Linked DNA regions of Callithrix jacchus. Each later gene encodes a partner of the first gene's protein in a complex. Links are inferred from orthologs where the notes say so. Each region holds a gene or a part of one and is shown in the gene's direction. Other genes may lie near its edges. The genes, in order: RAD18, UBE2B and MAGEA4.

Evidence for each region.
Region 2: the proteins of RAD18 (region 1) and UBE2B are in contact, whole or in part, in a crystal structure (PDB 2YBF), measured with the Homo sapiens proteins. The link is inferred for Callithrix jacchus from reciprocal best matches to the Homo sapiens genes RAD18 and UBE2B. Residues at the interface, in NP_064550.3 of Homo sapiens: Tyr342, Arg343, Lys344, Lys345, His346, Lys347, Glu349, Phe350, Leu353, Val354, Gln356, Ala357, Arg358, Lys359, Gly360, Tyr361; in NP_003328.1 of Homo sapiens: Pro20, Val22, Gly23, Val24, Ser25, Gly26, Ala27, Ser29, Glu30, Gln35, Asn37, Ala38, Val39, Phe41, Gly42, Pro43, Glu44, Glu49, Asp50, Lys54, Leu55, Val56, Leu73, Ser74, Asp151, Ser152.
Region 3: the proteins of RAD18 (region 1) and MAGEA4 are in contact, whole or in part, in a crystal structure (PDB 9BD3), measured with the Homo sapiens proteins. The link is inferred for Callithrix jacchus from reciprocal best matches to the Homo sapiens genes RAD18 and MAGEA4. Residues at the interface, in NP_064550.3 of Homo sapiens: Ser348, Phe350, Gln351, Leu353, Val354, Gln356, Ala357, Arg358, Lys359, Gly360, Tyr361, Lys362, Lys363, Ile364, Ala365; in NP_001011548.1 of Homo sapiens: Ser111, Val114, Asp115, Ala118, His119, Ser158, Lys160, Met161, Ile162, Ile204, Ile205, Gly208, Thr209, Met212, Glu224, Glu225, Val228, Met229, Gly230, His237, Val239, Tyr240, His290, Val291, Val294, Asn295, Arg297, Arg299.

The regions. Positions count from the first base shown.
Region 1 is NC_133516.1:66,166,189-66,172,647, reverse strand, and holds the start of RAD18 (E3 ubiquitin-protein ligase RAD18), read left to right. Parts: upstream 1-1,956; 5' UTR 1,957-2,043; coding exon 2,044-2,094; intron 2,095-6,459. UniProt on the Homo sapiens protein: E3 ubiquitin-protein ligase involved in postreplication repair of UV-damaged DNA. Postreplication repair functions in gap-filling of a daughter strand on replication of damaged DNA.
Region 2 is NC_133503.1:32,757,504-32,764,058, forward strand, and holds the start of UBE2B (ubiquitin-conjugating enzyme E2 B), read left to right. Parts: upstream 1-2,358; 5' UTR 2,359-2,478; coding exon 2,479-2,522; intron 2,523-4,611; coding exon 4,612-4,692; intron 4,693-6,555. UniProt on the Homo sapiens protein: E2 ubiquitin-conjugating enzyme that accepts ubiquitin from the ubiquitin-activating enzyme E1 and transfers it to a E3 ubiquitin-protein ligase. In vitro catalyzes 'Lys-11'-, as well as 'Lys-48'- and 'Lys-63'-linked polyubiquitination.
Region 3 is NC_133524.1:148,211,192-148,217,711, forward strand, and holds the start of MAGEA4 (melanoma-associated antigen 4), read left to right. Parts: upstream 1-1,907; 5' UTR 1,908-2,954; coding exon 2,955-3,025; exon of another isoform or gene 3,026-4,641; intron 4,642-6,520. UniProt on the Homo sapiens protein: Regulates cell proliferation through the inhibition of cell cycle arrest at the G1 phase. Also negatively regulates p53-mediated apoptosis.

The DNA.
Region 1 (6,459 bases):
AGAAAAACCTAATTACCTTGTCCGACTAGTATTGTGAAAAAACAATTACTGGTTCACTCAGTCCACGGACCTGGTCTTAGATGCTTTTCCCTTATCTCTCCAAGACCCTACTGCCCCTGCATCCAGAACTATCCAACCTCTTCCAGCTCAGCCTGGCATGCATTTGAATGCCGTTCTATGATTGCCTGATACAAAGCATAAGGGTGGGGGTTGGCACCATAAACCTCCATTCCTCATCTTCCTTTTGGGAGTCCCACTAGGTCCAACAACCTGAGATTCTCAGACCTGGCTCTGCCCCTTGACTTGGTTTACTTAACTGTTTCTCAAAAAATTATCAGTGGGTGATTTCTTCTGGTTTTAGGTTAAAAGACCTAGGTTCCATCCTGGATAATGCCACTGACAAACTGTGGTTTATATGAATTCCTTTACCTCTCTAAGACTTAGTTCTCATGATGAAGGCCTTATGAGAATATTCTGTTGTGGTCAATATGGACTCTCAAGCCAGACTGAGTTCAAATCTTTCATCTTCCACTACCAGCAGGGTGCCTTGTGAATAAGTCAAATAAGTGCATATGTGTAAAAAACTTAGAATGGTGTTTTGCATACACGTGCCTAATAAATGCCAGCTACTACTGTAATGGATACTAAAGTCCTTTCTCTTTTTTTTGAGACGGAGTTTCGCTCTTCTTACCCAGGCTGGAGTGCAATGGCGCGATCTTGGCTCACTGCAGCCTCCGCCTCCTGGGTTCAGGCAATTCTCCTGCCTCAGCCTCCTGAGTAGCTGGGATTACAGGCACGCGCCACCATGCCCAGCTGATTTTTTGTATTTTTAGTAGAGACGGGGTTTCACCATGTTGACCAGGATGGTCTTGATCTCTTGACCTTGTGATCCACCCGCCTCAGCCTCCAAAGTCTAAAGTCCTTTCTCTAAATGCTATTAGTATTAATATTACTGCCCAGTAAGTATTTGGGTGCAAGCTGGGAAAAATCAATTGAATACAGCTTTGGCTAAGAGACTAGAGGGTTCTTATGAAGAGAACTCAGAGGAGTGAAGTCTTAAGCTTTCTGAGCCTCAGTGTCCTCATTTGTAAGATGGCCATAACAGTCTAATCTCTGCCTGCTTCCCAAGAAAGCTCAAGTGCCTGGCCCGTTGTAAGCATTCAGAAAATATTTGTGAAATGAATCAGTGCATGGACCACGTGGGGCGTGTTCTTCATCTTAAGCCTCAATGGGCTCCAAAATGTCCCTTCCTAGATTCTACAAAAAGAGTGTTTCCAACCTACTGAATCAAAACAGAGGTTTCAACTGTGTGAGAATCCACACATTGCAAGGCATTTTCAGATAGCTGGTTTCTAGTTTTTATTGTGGGATATTCGGATTTTGCCATGAGCCTATATGGATTCCGAAATGTCCCTTCCCAGATTCTTGCTAACTTGGTGGGAATATCAAGGGCAAGGATTCAAGGGTGGGGATATTGCTAACTTGATTTAGCAGAGTTCTTTGCTAAAACTGGATTTTATCACGAAGTACACAGATTGGCCTAGGAGAAGGTTCAGGAGCCTGACTAAAGTTTGGTCAAGCCAAGAATCTTTGCCAATTTGCATAGGAAATATCTGGAAGGCTATATGCCGAAGTTAATAGTGCTTCTCTCTGAAGAAAAACTGTACATTAAAATTTTAATATGATTAAAAGGAAGAGCTCCTATTTAAACTCCAGAGGTCCTGTTTCGAATCTGACTCGAAACTCTATTCAGCTTTTCCGGAGTAGTTTCCGCTTGTGTAAACTGACAATGATAACACCTACCTCCCAGTGTTGTAATATGGGAGAGATATTACACAGTAGCGGACATAGCCTAGCGCAGGCGCAGTACAAGCACCATCAGCAGCGCCCCGCCCACATCCTACTACAATTTCCGGCAGGCTCCGCGCCCGCCTCTGGCGCGTCGCGGGTTGTGACGTAATGCGATAGCGCGGGGAATTTCGAGTGGTATTGGAGCGCCGGAGGCTAGTTGAGTGGTAGACCCCAGCATCTTCAGGAGCGACCATGGACTCCCTAACCGAGCCTCGGTGGCCGCCGGGCCTGGCAGTTATGAAGGTGAGTGCTTCGGGGAGGTTGGGGGCTCCCGGGTGCCTGCGGGGGGCGGTCCCTCCCTTTGAGGAGGATGTCCTCGCCTTGAGGAGAAAAAATGAGGCGCGAGAGTCGCACTGGGCCATAGTACCCGGCTCTGCTCTGTCACTAGCCGACCGCGTGGCTCTGGGTCTCAGTTTACTCCTTTGATAAGTGACAAGGACAAGCTTGGTGAGCTGAGGTTGACAGTCTAATGGAACCAGATATTCTGCGATCCAATCCGAACAGTAACATGGAGAAAAACAGCTGTTCTAAACAATGACATTGTCAGCTAACCTTCACTGAAAGCTTACTTTGTGTCAAGCACTAAACAGTGACACCGGACATGATTTTGGGTGGACACTTTATCAAGTAACATGTATGTAATCACGTAGCCAAGCAGGTAGTCTCCTTTACAGGCTCTTCTGATTATTCTCAATAAACCTACTGCTGGTTTGTACCGACATACTGCCCCAGCTCCTCCCTCACACGTCCTATCTCTTCTGTAACAATTGCTCATCTCTCTGTCTTTTAAACAAAGATCAAGATTCAGCAGTCATCTTTCATTGCATCGAATTATTTCAGTTAAATAACACTTATTTTTGTAGCCACTTTCTGTTTTGGCAAGGCAACAGTTTCCATTTACGTAGTGGTGGTCCCTGGATTTGCTCAAGAGCAGATGCACATTCCCGTGCTGGCTAAAAGTCAGTTGTTTGGTGTTTCTTTTTGCTCTGTGATTATTTTTGTTTCTGACAGTGGCTAAGATAGCCTTTTTCTCTTCCTCAGTTTTGTAGTCTTGGGGATTATAGTATCTGTCCCACTGGCTCATAAAGTTGACTTTAGAATTAAGTGAAGGCTAAAATAAGTATAAGGCCTTGTTCTTCCTGCTGTCATCCGTGATATTTAGAGGTCTTGGGGACTTGAGATATCTGCATGACGAGAAGCTGACATTGTGAAAGGATCCAGGAAAGCGGTGGTTTCGAAGTTGTGATGGGCTTGGCACCAAGATGCCGTGGAAAAGAGCACAGATTTGAATTCTAGTGGTCCTGGGTGAAATCTGATCTCTGCCTCTTAGCTGTGTGACCTTCAGTTAGTAACATAACCTCTCTGAGCCTGAATTTCTTCAACTATAAATTAGAGACAAAAATAAACAGTTCATAGGGTTGATTAAATAAATGAGTTCATGTGTGTGGGTGCAGATTCTGCAGGCTTATTCATTGTGCTTGATGCGGTGCCTGACAGAAAGTGAGTGCTCAAGTATTATTTGCTGCTTGATTGAAAGTATCTGGAATGTAGTAAGCATTCAATGAATATATTTTATTACTATTATTAGCACTGTGCTAAGTGCTTCTCTCCCCTTTTAATTTGTTGTCATGAAGCTTGATTTGGATAAGGAAAGTAAAAGAACTCTGTAACCTGTAAAGCTCCTGCTTTGTAGATTTAAGCATATTTTACATATTCCCACAATTTCAGTGTTCTTTAGAGGCAGGTTCCATGTCTTCTCTGACTTTGGTATCTCACCACGGCACTGAATATAGAGTTTGATACCACAGAGTGTTCAGTGATTGTTCAACCAGAGAGTTGATTGAGCCCATATTTTTTGCTCACATTAGAATCATAGAATCTTAAGGTTTGGAAACCAGCCTCCTTCATTATTTTAAACTCTTTTATAACATATCTGCCAATTTCTCACCTAATTTTTGCTTGAACTCTTCCAGGGACAAAGAACTATCAGATCCCAGAAGTGGATCTGACTAAAGTTACTTCTAATAGAAGTCTGACTCAGAATGCATGGTTCCTGACTTAGGATCCGTAGAAAGACTTCGGAGTCTCAAGTTATTTGTAGAATTTTCGTATATATGTTTTTCTGAGAATAGAGTCCATAGTTTTCATCTAATTTTCAAAGGGATCTGTAACCCCAAAAACTTGGGTATTTTTGTAAGTATTATGTTTTTCTACCCATTTTCTACTCCCTTTCACTTTCTCTCTCTCTAAACTAAAGACATTTTGGGGTGTCTGCTGACCACTCTCTATTCAGGCATCGTTTTTTGTTTGGTTGGTTGAGGCACATGTGATACGCATATTACAGTCTTGGAGAGACATGACCAGAAATTTGAACCCGAAATAGCTCATCTTATGGAGTGTCAACTTCCACAAATTGTGCTCTGCAGATCTTTCTGAATCATTACTCCACCGAAGAGAATGGCATAGATAAGAAAGAGTGGTATGACAGACTGGTTCCGGCTTCTGGGCCTGCCTCTGATCTTAATTGATCTTTAACATTAACCCTCTAGATTTTTGTGTCTGTGACAGCTTACCATCCACAATAATGGAAGATTTTGGCATTTTATTATTTCCCTGGTTTTATTTTAGCAAAATTGGACTCTTTTTGGCATATTGTAAATGTAATAGGTGTACACAGTAGAAAAAAATTAAAATTCAGAGTAAGATAAAGGTGAAAAAGAAAATCATCTGTAATCCTACCACCCAGAGAACCAGTGTTTAACATTTTACCTTATTTTCCTTCAGTTTTTACGCATTTAAAATTTGGGATCATTGTGGAGTCAACTTCTTGGGTTTGATTCAGCCAACCTAGGAACTCTGAAGGCTTTGTTTTTAAAATTGGGGTACTGATGCTGTGGACTTTATAAGATTGCCATGAAGATTAAACTACAGAGTTGCCATTATTATGTATTATTGGCATATATTTATTTTCTGATTTTTATTTTCCTATGGCATTAAATATTCTTTGAAAGCATGTTTTTTAATGGTTGCATAATATTTCATCATATGGACTGTTGGCAACATTAGTCTTTTTTTTGTATAAATTTTAAAAATTCAGATAATAGGTTCACTTGGTTCAGGATACACATGAAGTGAAAAGTAAAAGTTTCCTTCTTACCGTGTTCCTGGCCCTGATCATTTTTATTATTATCTTCTCATAATTTGTTTGTATTTCTGATGAAAATAGATACTTTTTTTTTTTTTGAGATAGGGTCTCACCGTCACCCAGGCTGCTTGCTGCCTTGAACTCCTGGCCTAAAGTGATCCTTCCGCCTTAGCCTCCTGAGTAGCTGGAACTACAGGCATGTGCCATCATGCCCAACTAATTTTTACTTTTTTTTATAGACATGGATTTTTGCTATTTTGCTCAGGCTGGTCTTGAATTCCTGAATTTAAGCAATTCTCCTGCCGTGGTCTCCCAAAGTGCTAGGATTACAGGCAAGAGCCACCAAGCTAGGCTTATTAGAATACATTCTTTTTTTTTTTTTGAGAGAAGGAAAGAAAAAAAAAGGAGTGAAGGAGAGGAAGAAAGAGGAAGAAAAAGAGGGAGAGAGAACGGAAATGTTGCTTTATTCTAAAAAATGGGTATTAATAATGGCCAATCAATATTTCATTTAAACCTATGAGTAGGTGTGATGTGGTATTGACAAGAATGTATATTTTGTGTATTTAAAGTGGAGAGCTCTATAAATATTTATTAAGTTTACTTGTTCCGGATCTGAGTTCGAGTCCTGGATATCCTTATTAATTTTCTGTCTCATGGAGTCTAAGTCTCTGTGTATCTGGGTGTTAGGATCGTTAGCTCTTATTGTTGCATTGATCCTTTTACCACTATATCTTTGTTGCTTTAAAATCTATTTTATCAGATGCGAGAATTGCAACTCCTGCTTTTTATTTATTTATTTATTTTTGCTCTCCATTTGGTTGGTAAATCTTTCTCCATCCCTTTGTTTTGAGTCTTTGTGTATCCTTACATGTGAAATGGGTCTGGATGTAGCATACAGTTGGGTTTTGGCTGTATCTTTTGATTGGGGGATTTAGTCAATTTAAATTTAGGTTTACTACCATTTGATGTTAACTGGCTGTTTTATCCATTCATTGATGTAAATTCTTCTTTATGTTGATGCTCTGTACTTTTTGGTATATTTTTAGAAAGGCTAATACTGGTTGATTCTTTCTATGTGTAATGCTTCTTTCAGAAGTTCTTGTAAAGCAGGGCTGGTGGTAATAAAATCTCTGAATACTTGCTTGTTCATAAAAGATTTTATTTTTCCTTCAGTTGTGAAGCTTAGTTTGGCTGGATAAGAAATTCTGGGCTGAAAGTTCTGTTCTTTAAGGATGTTGAATATTGGCCCCTACTCTCTTCTGGCTTGTAGAGTGTCTGCTCAGAGATCTGCTGTAAGTCTGATGGGCTTGCCTTTGTGGGTAACCTGACCTTTCTCTCAGGCTGCCCTTAGTATTTTCTCCTTCCTTTCAACCCTCATGAATCTAATGATTATGTGCCTTGGGGTTGCTCTTCTTGAGGAATATCTTCGTGGTGGTCTCTGTATTACCTGGGGTTGAATATTG
Region 2 (6,555 bases), on another chromosome or scaffold:
TTTCTGCAAACCCTGAATTGTTTCTGCTTTCAGTGACTGCCTTAACTGGTAAATTATAAGGTGTTTTTGTTTTTGTTTTTGTTTTTTTTTGTCAAGGTCTCAGTGGCACGATGATGGTTCACTGCAGCTTCAACTTCCTCGGCTCAAGCGATCCTTCTGCCTCAGCCTCCCAGGTTGCTGGGACTACTGGTGTATGTCACCACGCCTAGCTAATTTTACTTTTTGCAGAGACAGGATCTCCTGTTTTGCACAGGCTGGTCTCAAACTTATGGCCTCCCAAAGTATTAGGATTACAGGCATGAGCTTATGTCTCAGCTCATGCCGAATATTTTTAAGATACAGTTTCTCTTGACCATTTTTCTCCATGTAACCTTACATGTGTATCTTTCTCTTTTGTTATCGGAAGGGTTAGGACTGCAATGGCAGAAAGGCAAAAAAATTAAGAATATTCAGCTTTTGACTTAGAAAACACATTGTGAAATGTTTAACAGGACCTATCAAGAGTTAGGCCTGCCTAACTCGATTACCGAGGCAGTCACTGGAAGCAGAGAGAGAATTCAGGGTTTAAAGAGGAAGATGCAAGGAAAGTCGGAAAAGTTAACTCTGCTTCCATGGAACTATGGGCAAGGTTGAGGCAATGCTAAGGTCTTCATTCCACCTTCCCTTTCCCTGTTGAGCTGAAGGATTCCTCAGTACTCAGAGTCCTTAGTATAACAAAGTCCTGAGGGTAGGAACTGGAAGCAATAGAGGGAAGGACAGTAACTACAGAAAATATTCAAGGTCTGTGGGAGATCAACACTTTTGAACCCCCCTGGTGATGGGGGGGCACTTCTGGCCCATTTGCACTTTACTTGCTAGTGTAGAAAACCTAAAGTTATCTCAGGCTAGATTTATTTTTTTGTTTTGTTTTGTTTTGAGACAGAGTTTTGTTCTTGTTACCCAGGCTGGAGTGCAACGGCGCAGTCTCGGCTCACTGCAGCCTCCACCTCCTGGGTTCAAGCAATTCTGCCTCAGCCTCCCGAGTAGCTGGGACTACAGGCGCACGCCACCATGCCCAGCTAATTTTTGTATTTTTAGTAGAGACGGTGTTTCACCTTGTTGACCAGGATGGTCTCGATCTCTTGACCTCGTGATCCACTCGCCTCAGCCTCCCAAAGTGCTGGGACTATAGGCGTGAGCCATCGCACCGGGCCTTCAGGCTAGATTTATAACCCTCACTCATATCTACAGGAGCTCTCCCCCAGGTATAAATCATATTTGTAGGTTTCTTTGACAACCAACCACTCATTGATAAGCCTGGAAGTCTGCAACCCCACATTCCTTAAAAATATACAATGGTACAACCCCCTATAGGCAAGTCCCGGACTCTGACACATATCTTCAAATGAAAGCAGACCCAGAAAGGAAAAACTGCATAATACACCATCCTTTAATGTTTGCCCAAAATTTTCAATACTAGAAACCCCACTGCAAAGCTGAAAGACTATTTGGTAGCTTCAAGGAAGCATTGCAGGATATTGTTGTGTGGGCCTCAACATTCAATGCTGCCTTAGAAGATCGTGCAATACCCTTCTTGCCCCAATAGCAGAGTTGATAAGCCACTGAACCAACCAGAGGGGAATTATTTTTGGTCCCGGTTTAAAGAAAACAAAACGTGACTCATGCCTGTAATCCCAGCACTTTGAGAGACCCTGCCTCTACAAAATGTAAAATAAATAAATAATTTTAAAACCCTCAAAAAAAAAAACAAAACAAAACAAAACAAAACAAGCTGTTGATTCTGCCATGATCTCTTGGGTAATGATGTCTCTAACCTGTAATAAACAGGAAACAACTAATAAAGGTGTAATCTCCCTTGAACCAGCTTCATAGAGCTGGCTGAAACTCACATAGAGGCGAGGCTTTCACGTGACCCATTCTAAAGGCGTCATAGGGACACGTGGTTCTAGATACTTCTCCCCCTCCCCCTCAGGGGTGGATTGTTGACAAGGCCACGGTCAGTCACGTGATCTTACGTCATCCCACCTCCTTTCCCTGAAATCTCTGGCCCGGATGAGTCCCCCCTCTCTCCACCCCGCCGAGTCTAAACTAATGACGGGGAGGGGGACAGATAGTGTTTCGGTTCCGTGGTCTCTGAATCCACAACCTCTAGTGTAAGCACAGAGTACACAAACTTGCCGATCATTTCAGGAAGCCCAGGCTGAACCCAGCCCCGCAGAAGGGCTCGGAGAACGCGCGCTCCAGCGTCCCGCCCCCTCCTCCCCCAACGCTCTTCCGTGGTAGCGGCGGAGGGCGGAGGGATCCGGAGGGCGGAGGGATCCGGAGGCGGCGGAGGGAGACGTCATTGCAGGGTTGTTTGTCAGTCTCGGCGACGGCAGCAGCGGCAGCTACCCACAGTGATTTGGCCGCCGCGCCGGGGGGTGGGGGGGCTGCGCGGGACTCTTTTCTTTCAGACTGACCGCGGGGCAGCTGGGGAGCATGTCGACCCCGGCCCGGAGAAGGCTCATGCGGGATTTCAAGCGGTAAGGGCCTTCACGTCCGCCTAGATGACGGCCCCTCAAAGCTGCGGGGCTGCAGGGTGGGGATCCCGGACACCTTCCCCTTGTGACCCTCCGAGGGCCGGCTGTGGGCCCAGCAGAACTGGCAGAAGCCGGGTCCTAGCCTCGGCTTCCACTACCTTATCCTTGCCTCTCGTTTTGGCGGCCGAATAAATTTCGATACTCCTCCTACCCCCAAAAAGTAAAACGGTGTCGATCGACTGGCCTAGGGTTCCCTGCTGCCCTTTTCGGCCAGCTGCCCGGCGATCAGATTTCCTCCACCCGCCCCTGCACCCTGCGGCGCCCCCTTCTTGTCCTCTTAAAGTAAGCTCCTGCGGGAGTTTGTTCCTCGCCGGCTGCACCGGTCAGCTTTGTTTCACTGCCCCGCCGTCTTCTCCGAGGAGCCGGGTTGGGGCGAAACCCCCCGCACCACGCCCCGGTCCTTTCCATTTCTACCGTGAGGGTGGGGTCCAGTGCGTGAGGCCCGGAGCTTAACCCATCCCCCGAAACCCGACTCTGTCCCCGCCCGCCTGAAAGGACCTTGGGAACCGACTTAGAGATCTGGGACCTCAGAGCTGGCCACCCCGGCTGCCAGTGCCTTCTGGAACTCAGCTCTGGCTGGTGAAGAAAGCCCTATCTATAGCCTCCCGAGTCTGGAAAAATGCCTTCCCTTAGACGGGCGCTAATTTGATACTCCCTGGGCCTCCTTTGGTAAATAAATAGGGTTTTAACTGTTAGGAGGTATTGGGGTTGTGAGAAAGAGAATGATTAGTCCGTCGTTTGCCTTTAATTGGATACTTAGAGACATAGAAAAACATGTGAGAAAACAGCATTTTGATAACTCTGCACGTTTTTCTTAAAATTTTTTTTGGGGATACCTGCCCTAATTGAGACAAAATATCTGGCCTAAAAACTTAGATTTGTCGCTCAGGAAGTCGCCTCTCAACTCAGCCATTATAAAGCCTATGTGAAGCATTTGGAAGCCATCCATTGTTTTGGGCTTTGGCCAACTTATTTAATTCATTGGTAGCTTCTCTTAGCCATTTAAAGGTAGGCGTCAAGCAGTGCAGTTCTTGTGAGGCTTCTGTTCGTGGCGGCCTAATTTGCTTGAAATTGACTAAAAACCTTTTTTTTTTTTAATGTGGACTAGTTGCAAAGTGTGATGCCCCATGAAAACGACTGCATATGTATTTGTGTGTATAATGTAGCATTTTTAATTGACACTACAGTCTCTGAAAGGAGATGCCCTTTTTTGTGCAAAAGTTATCTTTCTAAAGCTTGAAATTAGTGTATTTGCTTGGCACTTGTGACTAAAATTCAAATAGCAATTTAGTTCACGTCATTGTCTCCCTGGCTCCTTACTGTAATGCTCTGCTTAATTCTGAGTTGAGTATATGACACCTTTTGAAGTTTTCCAAAGGTCTGCAGGTTATAAGAATTTGAGGAATGTTGGAAAGCCTTGTATTGAGTCTCCTGATCTGAGAGGTAGATTTGGTGTTAGTGCAGAGCCTTAAAATAGGGACTGGCAGAAAACCTACTGATTACTTTTTAAAGCCATTGCCGTTTGAAGCAAAAGGGATAAAGTAAATCTGCCTAATACTAGTTTTGTAATTAACGTGTTTTCAGTCATTAGTGTTTACACTGAGGTTTGCTTTTCTTTTTTTAGCCATTTTGCAGAAGTACCTGTGGTTAAGACACACAGTCTTTGGATGGTTAGAGCAGCAAAATCGATGGTTCTGTAAAAATATTATTTGCTTTTGAGTTTTTAAACTTTTTTTTGGTTTAAGAGGACAGTCTGTATGCATCAATTCTTGAAGAGATAATAATCTTGATAATATTGAAAAAGGGATGATTCTCAAGCCTTTTACATTTTTAGATAATTTGGAGAGGTATTTAATAAGTGTATATACCTGGTTAATATATTTAAGTCATAGGGTTCATTTTAGTTCACAGTAACAAGGAAATGGAGTTAGTCCCTGTGTCACAATAGATGGTATAGTGTCTGTAGGTGTTTATGTGGCCTCCTTAGTGGCCTTAATGTTCAACTTTTTAAATTACCACTCCGGATTTCTAGGTTACAAGAGGACCCACCTGTGGGTGTCAGTGGTGCACCATCTGAAAACAACATCATGCAGTGGAATGCAGTTATATTTGGGTGAGTTGAAAGGTTTATAATAGGTGTGTGTTGAATCTTTAAGTGAATATATAACAACTGCCTAGGAAAAGAAACTGGGGTGGATTGAGAGATCTTCAGGACTAAAACTACAAGATAAATTAGAAAAAAATTTTTTTAATTAGAATTTTAGCTCATGCCTAGGAGGATCGCTTGAACCCAGGAGTTCATCACCAGCCTGAGCAATATAATGAAACAGTGAGTCTCTCTCTCCCTGCCCCCCAAAAAAAGGAGTTTTGGCCCAGCCTGGGCAACATAGTGAGACCTCATCTCTACAAAAAGTATAAAACTAGCTGGGCATAGTGGTGCACACCTGTGGTCCCAGCTACTTGGAAGGCTGAGGCAGGAGGATCACTTGAGCCCAGGAATTTGAGTGCCATGATTATGCCACTGCACTCCAGCCTGGGCAGCAGAACCAAGACCCTTATGTTTCAAAAAAAAAAGGAAAAAAATTTCAGCAGTTATATACAATTTATTTGCTCTTTTATTATAGGGTTTTATAATCACTTCAGGTTTTACTTTAAAATACTATTCAAAACTATATGGAATGGAATAATAAAGGAGAAAATATAAATTATTTTGTATAAAATATACCATGCAAATGCTTTAATTCTGTTGGAGCTATTACAAGATTTGGAACCAAAAATATTAAGAACTTCTACTGTGGCAAGTATTTAAGTGAAAAGGATTCACAGCCCGGTGTGAAGTAGCAGAATGCAGCCATTTGAGGAGTTGTAAATTTTACGTACTATATATGTTGCATATATGCTTTTTAATTTAAATTTTCCTTATGCTTTTTCTTTGGTTTTTCTAGACTTGATCTGTTTTTTCTTTCATTCCTTTGAAACTCGAGATATGCATTAAAAAGTAAAAGGAATATGTTGATAAACAGAATTCTGATACTCCAGTTCAGCTACAAGAGTCTACATTTAAAGACTAGTGGAAAATGAGTGAGGTTCACCCTCATAAAGCACTTCTGTTATATTCAGGGTATTATCTGGCTACTTTGAGATCCTGAATATGCCTTGCAAGTAATAATTAAACCTTGTGCTGCTGCTTAGGAAGTATGAAATTGGGATGTGGTGGCAAGGATCTGAACAAGAGAATCTGGCTTTTTGGTGACAGCAGCTATGCTTAGCCTATTTGAACAAACGTTATGCATCTGTTGGAAAGCAGGACACTTGGGTTTAGCATCATAACTAAAGACTATTGCTTTCCATCTTATTGCTGTTAAATGAAAAAGATGACTTTTTCTCTTAAGAATATACATATGTGGCCAGGCATGGTGGCTCACGCCTGAAATCCCAGCACTTTGGGAGGCTGAGGCGTGTGGATCACCTGAGGTCAGAGTTCAAGACCAGACTGACCAACATACTGAAACCCTGTCTCTACTAAAAATACAAAAATTAACCAGGTGTGGTGGCACATGCCTATAATTCCAGCTACTTGGGAGGCTGAGGCAGGAGAATCCCTTGAACCCAGGACAAGTAGGTTGCAGTGAGCCGAGATCACGCCATTGCACTCCAGCCTGGGCAACAAGAGTGAAACTCCCTCTCAGAAAAAAACAAAAAATAACAACAAACAAAAAATATACATATGTACAAAATGACTGGTCAGTATTAATGAACTGGAAGTTTTTGGTGCTAAAATTATGGGCAAGTTTTTTTGTTTGGTTTGGTAAAACCACCCTAAAAAGAAAGCTTAGAATGAAAGTTGTATTTTATGCCTGTGTTTATGAAAATCCAGGGCTAAGGTGTTATTAAGCTGTATCTTAAAACTCCACAAATCATCCGAATGGGTCCCTCTTTTTCTGTTGGAGTTTATCATTTCCACTCTTGAAAGTCA
Region 3 (6,520 bases), on another chromosome or scaffold:
TAGGCCACCCGTGGCTGGACTTCTGAGTGGGGGATGGGCACCACGGCCACTGTGGTTGAAGTCACAGGGGACTCGGGACTCAAAGGGCTTGGCGTGGTCAGTGCAAGACTGGTGGGGATAGGCTCTGCCATGAATTAACTGCAGGATCCCAGGAGAGGGCTCTGAGTCCCCCATTCCGTCCCCATTCCCCAACCCATTTTTATTCCCATCCACCCTCCCATCCCGCACCAGTACCCCCATTCTCTCCAGCCCCTACCAACGTCATAATCCCATTCCCCCACCCCCAACCACGCAGCATCCGGTTCCACCCAGGTGCCCGGATGTGACGCCACTGACTTTCGCGTGGGGGCGGGTTAGAGAGAAGCGCAGTTCTTGGTCCGACCAGCGGTTTGGGATTGACGGAGAGAGGCGGGCAACGCTCTGTTAGGAGGTAAGGTGAGACGTAGAGGGAGGACGCAGGAGGTCCCCTTCCCCGGTAGACGACTCCAAATAATCTCTTACCACTCCGGCTGCCAGCCCTCGGCCACCCGTGGGTGGACTGCTTAGTGGGGGAGGGGCACCACCCCTACTGCCGTTGAAGCCACAGGGGACTCGGGACTCAAAGAACTTGGCGTGGTCAATGCAAGACTGGTGGGGTAGGCTGTGCCAGGAATTAACGTGGGGATCCCAGGAGAGGGCTCTGAGTCCCCCATTCCCATCCCCTTTCTCCAACCCATTCTTATTCCCATCCACCCTCCCATCCCGCACCAATACCCCCATTCTCTCAAGCTCCTACCAACCTCATAAACCCATTCCGCCACCCCAATACCCCCACCCCCAACCACGCCGGATCCGGTTCCACCCAGTCACGCCCAGATGTGACGCCACTGACTTGCGCATGGGCGGCGGGTTAGAGAGAAGCGCGGTTCTTGGTCTGACCAGCAGCTCGGGATTGGGGGAGGCAAGCGGGCAAGGCACTGTTAGGAGGAATGCTGAGACGCTGAGGGAGGACTCAGGAGCTCCCCACGCGAGATAGATGACGCCAAATAATCCATTACAACTCTGCTGCCAGCTCTGGGCCACCCGTGGCTGGACTTCTGAGTGGGGGATGGGCACCACGGCCACTGTGGTTGGAGTCACAGGGGTCTCGGGACTCAAAGGGCTTGGCGTAGTCAGTGCAAGATTGGTGGGGATAGGCTCTGCCATGAATTAACTGCAGGATCCCAGGAGAGGGCTCTGAGTCCCCCATTCCGTCTCCATTCCCCAACCCATTTTTATTCCCATCCACCCTCCCATCCCGCACCAGTAACCCCATTCTCTCCAGCCCCTACCAACGTCATAATCCCATTCCCCCACCCGCAACCACGCAGCATCCGGTTCCACCCAGGTGCCCGGATGTGACGCCACTGACTTGCGCATGGAGGGTGGATTAGAGAGAAGCGTGGTTCTTGGTCCGACCAGCAGCTCGGGGTTGACGGAGAGAAGCGGGCAAGGCGCTGTTAGGAAGCAAGGCGAGACGCTGAGGGAGGACTCAGTAGCTCCCCACCTTAGATAGAGGACCCCAAATAATCCCTTACCACTCCTGCTGGCTGCCCTGGGCCACCCGTGGGTGGACTTCTGTGTGGGGGAGGGGACCAGTCAGAGTGCCGTTTAAGCCACAGGGGACTCGGGACTCAAAGGGTTTGGCGTGGTCAATGCAAGACTGGTGGGGGTAGGCTCGGCCAGGAATTAACTTCAGGATCTTAGGAGAGGGCTCCGAGTCCCCCATTCTGTCCCCATTCCCCAACCCATTCTTATTCCCATCCACCCTCCCATCCCGCACCAGTACCCCCATTCTCTCCAGCCCCTACTAACCTCATAATCCCATTTCTCCCACCCCCAACCACGCAGCATCCGGTTCCACCCAGGTGCCCGGATGTGACGCCACTGACTTGCGCATGGGGGGTGGATTAGAGAGAAGCGTGGTTCTTGGTCCGACCAGCAGCTCGGGGTTGACGGAGAGAAGCAGGTAAGGCTCTGTTAAGAAGCAAGGCGAGACGCTGAGGGAGGACTCAGTAGCTCCCCACCTTAGATAGAGGACCCCAAATAATCCCTTACCACTCCTGCTGGCTGCCCTGGGCCACCCGTGGGTGGACTTCTGCGTGGGGGAGGGGACCAGTCAGAGTGCCGTTTAAGCCACAGGGGACTCGGGACTCAAAGGGTTTGGCTTGGTCAATGCAAGACTGGTGGGGGTAGGCTCGGCCAGGAATTAACTTCAGGATCTTAGGAGAGGGCTCCGAGTCCCCCATTCTGTCCCCATTCCCCAACCCATTCTTATTCCCATCCACCCTCCCATCCCGCACCAGTACCCCCATTCTCTCCAGCCCCTACTAACCTCATAATCCCATTCCCCCACCCCCAACCACGCAGCATCCGGTTCCACCCAGGTGCCCGGATGTGACGCCACTGACTTGCGCATGGGGGGTGGATTAGAGAGAAGCGTGGTTCTTGGTCCGACCAGCAGCTCGGGGTTGACGGAGAGAAGCGGGTAAGGCTCTGTTAAGAAGCAAGGCGAGACGCTGAGGGAGGACTCAGTAGCTCCCCACCTTAGATAGAGGACCCCAAATAATCCCTTACCACTCCTGCTGGCTGCCCTGGGCCACCCGTGGGTGGACTTCTGCGTGGGGGAGGGGACCAGTCAGAGTGCCGTTTAAGCCACAGGGGACTCGGGACTCAAAGGGTTTGGCTTGGTCAATGCAAGACTGGTGGGGGTAGGCTCGGCCAGGAATTAACTTCAGGATCTTAGGAGAGGGCTCCGAGTCCCCCATTCTGTCCCCATTCCCCAACCCATTCTTATTCCCATCCACCCTCCCATCCCGCACCAGTACCCCCATTCTCTCCAGCCCCTACTAACCTCATAATCCCATTCCCCCACCCCCAACCACGCAGCATCCGGTTCCACCCAGGTGCCCGGATGTGACGCCACTGACTTGCGCATGGGGGGTGGATTAGAGAGAAGCGTGGTTCTTGGTCCGACCAGCAGCTCGGGGTTGACGGAGAGAAGCGGGTAAGGCTCTGTTAAGAAGCAAGGCGAGACGCTGAGGGAGGACTCAGTAGCTCCCCACCTTAGATAGAGGACCCCAAATAATCCCTTACCACTCCTGCTGGCTGCCCTGGGCCACCCGTGGGTGGACTTCTGCGTGGGGGAGGGGACCAGTCAGAGTGCCGTTTAAGCCACAGGGGACTCGGGACTCAAAGGGTTTGGCGTGGTCAATGCAAGACTGGTGGGGGTAGGCTCGGCCAGGAATTAACTTCAGGATCTTAGGAGAGGGCTCCGAGTCCCCCATTCTGTCCCCATTCCCCAACCCATTCTTATTCCCATCCACTCTCCCATCCCGCACCAGTACCCCCATTCTCTCCAGCCCCTACCAACGTCATAATCCCATTCCCCCACCCCCAACCACGCAGCATCCGGTTCCAGCCAGTCACACCCAGGTGCCCGGATGTGACGCCACTGACTTGCGCGTGGGGGGCGGGTTAGAGAGAAGCGCGGTTCTAGGTCAGACCAGCAGCTCGGGATTGACGGAGGGAAGCGGGCAAGGCTCTGTTAGGAGGTAAGTTGAGACGCTGAGGGAGGAAGCAGGAGGTCCCCTCCCCAGATAGAGGACCCCAAGTAATACATTAGCACTATTGCTGCCAGCTCTGGGCCACCGTGGGTGGACTTCTGAGTGGGGGAGGGGCACCACCCCCATTGAAGCCACAGGGGACTCGGGACTCAAAGAGCTTGGCATGGTAAATGCAAGACTGGTGGGGGTAGTCTTTGCCAGGAATCAACGTGGGGATCCGAGGAGAGAGCTCAGAGTCCCACATCCGTCCCCATCCCCCAACCCATTCTTATTCCTATCCACCTTCCCATCCCGCACCAGTACCCTTATCCTCTCCAGCCCCTACCAACCTCATAATCCCAATCCCCCACCCCCAACCACGCAGCATCCGGTTCCACCCAGTCACACCCAGGTGCCCGGATGTGACGTCACTGACTTGCGCGTGGGGGGCGGGTTAGAGAGAAGCGCGGTTCTTGGTCTCACCAGCAGCTTGGGATTGGGGGAGGGAAGCGGGCAAGGCTCTGTTAGGAGGCAAGGTGAGACGCTGAGGGAGGGACGCAAGAGGTTCCCGTTCCAGATAGACGACCCCAAATAATCCATTAGCACTCCCTCTGCCAGCTCTGGGCTACCTGTGGGTGGACTTCTGAGTGGGGAGGGGCACCAACCCCACTGCCGTTTAACCCACAGGGGACTCGGGAGTCAGTGTTTGGGTTGGTCAATGCAAGACCGGTGGGGGTAGGCTCTGCCAGGAATTAACGTGGGGATCCCAGGAGAGGGTTGAGCCTCCCCCATTTCCAACCGCATCCACAGCCCATTCTTATTCCCATCCACCCTCCCATTCCCCACCAGTACCCATATTCTCTTCAGCCCCTACCAACCTCATAATTCCAATTCCCCAACCCAACACAGACGCCCATCCACGCAGCATCCAGTTTCACCCCGTCACACCCAAGTGCCCGGATGTGATGCTACGGGCTTGCACACGGAGCGGGGGTGTTAGAGAGAAGCGCGGTTCTTGGTATGACCAGCAGCTTGAGATTGGCAGAGAGAAGCTGGCAAAGTTCTGTTAGGAGGCAAGGTGAGATGCTGAGGGAGGACTCAGGAGGTCCTTACCCCAGATTGATGACCCCAAATTGTCCCGTACGATTCCTGCTGCCACTCCTGGGCCACCCATGGGTGGACTTCTGTGTGGGGGAGGGGCACCACCCCCACTGCGGTTTAAGCCACAGGGAACTCGGGAGTCAGAGTTTGAGCTGGTGAGTGCAAGACTGGTGGGGGTAGGCTCTGCCAGGAATCAACGTGGGGATCCCAGGAGAGGGCTCAGAGTCCCACATCCGTCCCCATCTCCCAACCCATTCTTATTCCCATCCACCCTCCCATTTCCCACCATTACCCCTATTCTCTCCAGCCCCTACCAACCTCATAATCTCATACCCCCAGCCCCATCCACGCAGCGTTTGGTTTCACCCAGTCACTCCCAGGTGCCCGGATGTGATGCTACTGACTTGTGCATGGGGCGGGGGTGTTAGAGAGAAGCCCGGGTTCTTGGTAGGACCAGCAGTTTGGGATTGATGGAGCGAAGCGGGCAGGGCTGTTACGAGGCAAGGTGAGATGCTGAGGGAGGACTCAGGAGGTCCCCACCCCAGATAGATGACCCCAAATAATCCCTTACCACTCCTGCTGCCAGCCCTGGGCCACCAGTGGGTGGACTTCTGAGTAGGGGAGGGGCACCACCCCCACTGCCGTTTAAGCCACAAGGAACTTGGGAGTCAGAGTTTGGGGTGGTCAATGCAAGACTGGTGGGGGTAGGTTCTGCCAGGAATCAATGTCAGGATCGCAGCAGAGTGATGAGTGTCCCGCATTGCCATCCCTATGCCCCGCTAGCACCCCTACCCTTCCCATCTCACTACTATGGTCATACCCTCATTCTCTGCCCTCATCTCCCTCCCTGTGGAATCTGGTTCCATCCCTGCTTTCAACACAGGCAGGCCCTGGGTTCCCACATGTGATGCCACTGACCTATGCATTGGGGGTTAGAGGGAAGTGAGGTTCTGTGTCTGAGGGTTGGCTTGAGATAGGCGGAGTGAAGGGGGCCCCGGCTCAGTGAGGAGGCAAGATAAGACACTGAGGGAGGACTCAGGATGACTGCATCCCAGGTAGAGGGTCCCAACTGTTGACCACCCTTCGAGGGTGTACTTCTCAGGCTGCGCCACCTCCAGCTTCCCACCTCCCTTCTACCTGTACCCCAACACTGTCCATGCAAGGGACTCTGGAGTTAGAGTGTGGTGTGGTCTGACCGGGGAAGGGCTGCTTAGGAGAGCAGCATCCAGGCTTTGCCACACATCAAAGTCAGGAATTTCAGTGAGGGCCGAAGGTCCCTAAGAGCCCATTGTAATCCCCGCTCCCAGGAACCAACCGCCACTTCATTGCCATTCCCACCCTTATTCCTCAACCTAGATCCTCATCCACTCTGCCTTTTCACCTACAACCCTCTCGGAATCCCCACCCTCACCCTGGCCGATTACAGCTGCTGCCTCTGCTGTCGATCCAGGGAAGCCCCGTGTATCCAGTTGTGATGCCACTGGACACTGACTTGCTTATTGGTGATTAGAGAGAAACGAGGTTCTCCTTAGGGGCAGCTTGAGATCAGCAGAGGGAAGCGAGCCCAGGCTCTGAGGAGGCAAGGTGAGAGGTTGAGGGAGGTGTTAGGAGGCCCCCGCCCCAGATGAAGGGCCCCAAGTAATCCAGCACCACTCCTGCTGCCAGTCCTGGACCACCCGGGGGCAAACTTTTCCGGCGGAGCTCCCTCCCCTGCCCCCACCACAACACCTTTGTTTAAGCCACATGGGACTTTTGAGTCGTGGAGTCAGACGTGGGTGTGATCAGGGAATGCCTGGTTAGGAGAGGACATGGCCCAGGTTGTCAAGAATCAAGGTCAGAAACCTGAGAGTTAACTG